2 linked regions of the Zea mays genome follow. The protein of the gene in region 1 binds, or shares a complex with, the protein of each later gene. Links are inferred from orthologs where the notes say so. Each region holds a gene or a part of one and is shown on either strand. Other genes may lie near its edges.

Region 1 (2,335 bases):
TCTTTCAAGCGTTAGCTCGTGGTCTTCCGGTCTAGTGTTGAGGTTGAGTACCGAGCCGTCACTAGTGGGGTTGCTGAGGCGAGCTGGTTGCGCCAACTCCTTTAGGAGCTTGAAAACCCCCTCACTCGGAGCACATTTGTCTACTGCAACAACTTCAGCACCGTCTATCTCTCCGTCAACCTCGCCCAACACCAACACATGAAGCATGTTGAGGTCGATCTTCACATCGTCCATGAGCGCGTTGCTGTTAGGGACATCCGTGTTCATCACGTCCCGATGAGCTCGCAGTTTGCCGACATCTTCACGAAGGGTCTTCCCTTGTTTTTATAAATTCTATCTAGTCAATGTTTGCTCTGGCTAGTGTTTTGACTGCCCCGGGGGGGGGGGGGGTTGGCCTTTAGGGTTAGGGGTAAACCCTATATATCTTGTGCTCTCTACACTTGTGAATTGATATAACATATTTTAACGAGTACAGCTATATGTACACCCATATAAAATTTGGGAAATGCTTCAAGTACAACCACAGTACAACTCAGAATCCAATGGTTGGGATCACTTGGATGGAAAGCTCATACGTGCATTACATGGTTGTACTTAAGTAGTTGAGTTATGCTCAAGTGATTGTACTTGATGCATTTTCAAAAATTTATACTGGTGATATATAGGTCAGAAGTAGGTCGTTTTCAGCTAATGTTTTAGCTTAGTACTAATGTAGTGTCGAGTATTTGTTTGATTGATAGAGTAAGCAATCATTGTTACCATACATATTGTTAGGTCATAAACATACTGCTGTTATAGGTATGGACATGTGTGGACATGGTCACTGGTTAAGTAGCAATGGGAAGATCGTCCACATCAATCGGGTAACTGGTGAAGCACAAGCACGTAGTGAAGGTGTAGCGGAAGGTAGTCTTAAGACCATATATCCAAGCATAACTGTATAATACATTATCAACTAGACTGTTCTTTTTTTATGATAACTTCTCGCAAATCTACTCTTTCTAAACAGTAATCTTCAAAGGTTCAAATTTTAAGCTGCAAACAACTATCACTGTTCTCAAGGTGAACCAGATAGTTGTTGATGCTCCTGCGGAGACACTGACTAATGCAGCTGGCCTGCCGGATGGATACATGTTTTCTGTGAGATTTAGGTTTGTATTGCTCATATGATAACCTTCCTTCCACATTTTTGTAATTATATTATAATCAAGGCTGAAACTACTCTAACATACCAATGTGATTTCCTTGGGATTTCGTGTCAATTCAGGAGCAGACATAAATTTGTGGTATACTAGGTTGGAATATGTGGAAAGTGTAACGTACTGATTTCAAGTGCACAGATAGTGCATGGTATGTGCACTATGGAAAATACCATCTAAGAGCATCTCCAAGAGACTAGCTAAATAAATTTTAGCTACTTAATAGTATAATAGCTCTCCAACAGACTAGCCATCTAACTTGCTAAGCTATCTGGTTCTCCAAATTAACTCACTCACTAGCCAAATTTGGCTAGCAACTCTCGCTAGCCAAATTAACTTGCATGTTGGAGAGTCTGTTGGAATGAGATTTTATATATAGAGTTTAATATTTATGGAGAGACAAATAAAGAGTCAAATAGAGAGTCAAAAATAAAGAGTCTCTTGGAGATGCTCTAAGCCAACTGCATTTAGTATTTCTATATGTGTAGTTATCTGCTTCTGCTGCAGTTTGTGATCTTAAAGGAGAGGCTCACAACATTTATATGCATAAAATGTCTCATATGACTTCTAGCATAGGAATGCAGTCACTATGAAAATCGGATAAGTACCCTTTGAAACTGTAATTGAGTTTATCACATGTATCTGCAACTATCTCCAGTCTCAAAGGAATGTAACAATGCATATCATTTGTGCTAACCTTTTCTCATTTCTTTTTCTATAGTGATTCAATTGAGCACAGTATTGGATCCTCTGCGAGCCCAATTAATGTCCCCTTTGAATGCAAGGTTGACCCTTCTTTTGTTGGGTACGTTTCCTTCTCGTCAATGCGTACACAAAGCATCTCCAGCAGTTCCCAATAATCTATCCCCAATATGTATGTATTGGGGTAAGCCCAATATTGTTTCTGTGAGTATTGGGGGAGTTGCTGCAGCCGGAACCCAATATATCTCCCCCAATACCCATGTGGAAGGTGAGTCCTGCAGGAGTGTAAGAGGAAAGATGGCTGAAAAGTGATAGTTGGGGTGGGCCCCATGGTATTGGGGGAGATACAGCTGCCCCTTTACTTGAGGGGAGATGAGGGAAATATTGGTGACCACAAAAAAGGAGAGGCATTGGGGAACTGCTGAGTAAGAAAA
Region 2 (4,171 bases), on another chromosome or scaffold:
AAGCAGGTATTTGTGACTGAAGATATCACTTACAGACACATATCCATTAGACGAAGACCAGGGTTCTGAAGTCCATGTGTTTGTCTCCCAGAAGTGAAAAGTACCATCACTAGCAATAAATGAAATTTAAATTTTTGGAAATATTATCGACAAGAAATGAAAACGAAAAGTGAAAATTGACCATACAATTTAGCAACTAGAAGGTAATCTCCACTGGGTGACCACCGCACTAATGATATATTGCTTAATCCACGCCGTATAGGAGTTCCCAACCCTGAAGCAAAAGGAATGTGTCAAGATTATAGCCAACAATTCTGTATAAATGGGATTGACTGCATGTATTGAGAAAAGGACTGGTATACATACCTTGAGACACATCCCAAATTGTGAAAGATGAACTATTACATGAGGCAGATGCCAAGTATGTGGAGAGCAGTCAAGGAAAAAAATGTCTTCAACCGTTGAAATTTCCCACAAATGACTAAACCTACTGTAAACATCTATGTATGCATGGTGCTGTAAATTTGGCAAAAATAGAATTTTTGAAGTTAGCCACACACTGTATTTTAGTTATTTTACAGTTTTAAAACAAGAGAAACGGTGAGTAGTCATGGCTAAAGACCTCCAAACTCTTTTCTATGGCCTCCTGCCTCGGTTAGTCGGTTATTAGGTTGTTTTTTCCTTTTGTTCCAATGGCATGCCTGCATTGTGCATAATGGGTTTGAGTGTTTGTGTTGTGTTGGGTAAGTGGTGTTGTATATTTGGGTTAGCTTTCTTTGCCGACGAAATGATACAGAGGTGTTTAGCGAGTTAAATAAATAAAAGGAGAGATGAAAAGCAGCAGCAAAATTCACAATGCCACTATGAAACTTATCAAGGATATCTTCCATCAGGTTTCCAACAAAGTGCACTAACGAGCTCAGCAGAAGAGCCACGAAGAACATCCACAAGTATCCACTGACCACCAGAACCTCTAGGGAAGGCACTAAAGGAAGAAGAAGTGACCCCAGATTTCATGAATGGGACATTGCCAGGATATGATGCCGACCAGAGGCATATCCCTCCTCTGAAAAGAAAATGCTGATTTCAATATAAAAGTAAAGTATGACAGCAAATTATTCAGAGACAACAAGGATTGATTCAAGTTAAATGGTGAGGTGGCAGTAGTACACACTTGCAGGCAACTGCAATCATCTTCCCACTATTTGGTCTCCACTCAACAGCCTTAACATCCGTTTGATGATCATTTGTTAAAATGCATGGTTCTTTAGCATCTGTTAAAGAGATTGGCCAATGTTATGTTTTGCAACTAACCTGATGGATAGAGTTCAGTTCATAAATAAACTAATAAAACATAGCAAAATAGGCACAAGGCCGATCTTACCTGAGTCCTCAAAGTCTTGGACAGTAACCTGGTTCTTCCCAGACACGAATGCTAAGCAATGCTTGTATGGATTCCAACTTACTTTCTGCGTGTCAAATTCTTCTAGCAGATTTGGCTGGTAAACAAGAATGATCGAATTTGAGTACGACTGTAATGGTTTCGTAAAAAATCACACAGGAAATGTACAAGCAGGAAGCAAATCTAGGGTGTTCATCCCAAGAACAATAGCTGGAGGATAGATTTTTTTTTGGGAAGTATGCTGGATGAATTAGTAACTGGAGTTCTGATACAACATCAACCTTCAAGTTATGTTGAGCTGTGCTTTTGCAATCTGAGTAACATTGTTACCTCCTGAATCATGAAATAAGTTATTTTACTATGTTAAAACAATTCAACATATATCAGATCATGAAAGCACACTGTGGCACTAGGGAAGTGAGAAGCAGACAATGCATTCGCCTTTGGGCACAGAGTTTTCGTTGCATGACCATGTATTTGTATGTAGATATAAGCACCAGCAACTGACAAAAGATATGATAAAATTCTGGAGTTCACTTATCTACACACAAGCGAGTGGTTTAAGTACGCGGGTATCTCTGGGGACAAATTTGAGGAACATCAAATTGTAGTAACTCAGAATCTCAGTTAGGAATATAGGACAATCCAATGTGAACAGCATTGTAGTAACTCAAATTTATTTGGCTTGCAAACCAGAATGGTCGAATGTGAGTATCATTGTAATGATTTACTAAAAAGTTTACATTGAGGATAAGTAATTCAGATAGGACGATCCAACTCACGTCTAGTGGAGGGAAGACCATCCGCCTGAAGAAGTCGGATATGGTGGCTGCCAAACCAGCGGTGGGCACAGTGTCAGCAGGCTCGACTTGGTCCGCGGCAGGAGCAGCAGGCTCGCGGCTGGCGAGAAGAAGAGCCTCCGGCTGGAACGGAATCGGGGCGAACACCATCCCCTGCAACACGACGGCCAACAAGCCCCAGATTTGAGCCCCTCGTCAGGCAGGCAAGCACAACGTGGTTCACAGATGAAGAGTGAGTTCGAGGGGAGCGGACTGACGAGGACATCCCCATATGCGTCCTTGGCGCGGTCGTCGGAGAGGGCATCCACCGCAACTGCGAGAGGCCAGGGGGAGGCGGATTGAATCAAACAAGCGAGCGGAAATGCTTACTACAGCTAGTTAAAATGAGTGTGTGGTTGTTGGGGGGCAGCGGATTTGCTGGGCGCTTACCGAGGTCGCGGTTGATCTCGCAGATGGTGACGGCGCCCGGCGGAGGGAAGCTCGGCATCGCAGCTAGCTAGCTTGATAGGGTTAGGAGATAGATTCGAGGTTCCCGGACCCAGCCCGAAATGGGGCGCTTGAGCTCGACCAGTACACGAGGCAGCCAGGGGAAGCGGCGGCGGAAGCAACCGAGCGGCGAACGGGGAGAGAACGGAGGCGCGAGCGCGACGGGCAGACCAGGGGCGGATGTGTTTTTCGCCTCTGCAGCCCATACAAAACCAGCCCATAAACAACCAGGCCTTGAAGGCCCAGCCCAAAGCACCTCGCACCTCGCCTCTCGATCCACCATTCTCCGTCCGCCGTCACCCACGCTTGCTGGCTCCGCCGACGCATCTCGCAAGCTGCCAGCGCCCCCCTCGCCCCTCTCCACTGTGGTCCGCAGCCGCTTGGAGCTTGCAGCTTGCCTGTTCGTCGTCTCGGTCCCAGCCGGCAGCCGGTCAACCCTCCAACCCCCTCTCTAGGCGGCTAGGCAGCAAGTCTCCCAGGCTGGCAGGCTCCCAGCCGGCAGCGGCAGGAGCCCGCACAATCTGCTCGGCCCCTGGCCCCTACCATGCTTGGCCGCCTGGGCACCTTGGTGCTAAACCTGCTGAGGCAGAGAGTAGAAAGGACATGACATCGCTCTACTAACTGGCCACCGGTAATCAATATTTCATCCCTTTTTATCTGGCAAATTTTTACTTTAATGATTAATTTAGTTGCATTGAGCGGGTGGTGGAAGGGTTTAAGTGTTAAATGTGACCTACGGTTGAATCACGATCTAATGGATCAGATGGTTTGCTTGCACGCTTGCACAGAAGGACTGCTTGCATAGCAGTCGTTGCCGCATTGCATACCTCAGAGCCTGGAGGCTAGAATGGAGAAAATATAAAAAAGATTCTTAGCATTGTACATGTTGCTTTGGTAGAATTGATATTGTTATTTGTGTTCTTCCTTGTACCTAGTATACATTTTGGTATGTCGCCAGTAAGATTTCTAGCCTTAATTATTTACCCCCTCCCCACACACCCCCACCCACCCCTACCCTGGATGATTTCCGCCACTGATCAGCAGCTTTCTTTTCTCCTCTTTATTCAGTGAACCTTATCAAGTCATGTAAATAGAACAATCCCACGTGCATTCATGCGAACCTGGTGCTTTCCATTCCATTGTCTACTAAACTGACTCCGCGTGCAATCTCCTTCCTTCTTGCAGTTGCAGCTCCAGCAAGTCGCCATTGCTCTAGAGATCCACATGTGGTTCTCGGTGCATTTTCGTATCTTTTAGAATTGAACTGTGAAAAACACAATGGCATCGATCTTATCTGGAGCAAGGAGCCTTCACTCACTCGCTCTGCTATCGCGGATGTTGGGCGAGACGACTCAGCTCGGTCCTTTTAACCGCAGCGTGCAGCGGAGGTGGAGAAAGCCTGTAGATTCGGCAAGAACACGTCTTGAGGGAAGAACGAGGGATCATAGGCTGGACAAACTAATGGTTCAGCTGAGGAACTTGA

The links. Proteins that work in one complex are often made in the same cells at the same time.
Region 2: Nuclear pore complex protein GP210 (region 1) and Aladin-like share a complex: the UniProt entries of both Arabidopsis thaliana proteins name them as parts of the nuclear pore complex. The link is inferred for Zea mays from reciprocal best matches to the Arabidopsis thaliana genes EMB3012 and AT3G56900.

The regions. Positions count from the first base shown.
Region 1 is NC_050097.1:170,603,116-170,605,450, forward strand, and holds part of Nuclear pore complex protein GP210, read left to right. Parts: intron 1-798; coding exon 799-906; intron 907-1,009; coding exon 1,010-1,151; intron 1,152-1,920; coding exon 1,921-2,004; intron 2,005-2,335.
Region 2 is NC_050105.1:1,560,002-1,564,172, reverse strand, and holds the start of Aladin-like, read right to left. Parts: upstream 2,812-4,171; 5' UTR 2,690-2,811; coding exon 2,632-2,689; intron 2,516-2,631; coding exon 2,460-2,515; intron 2,356-2,459; coding exon 2,185-2,355; intron 1,500-2,184; coding exon 1,385-1,499; intron 1,275-1,384; coding exon 1,175-1,274; intron 1,067-1,174; coding exon 884-1,066; intron 426-883; coding exon 367-425; intron 275-366; coding exon 187-274; intron 110-186; coding exon 34-109; intron 1-33. Other genes in the region: protein ROOT PRIMORDIUM DEFECTIVE 1-like, read left to right, coding at 3,967-4,171.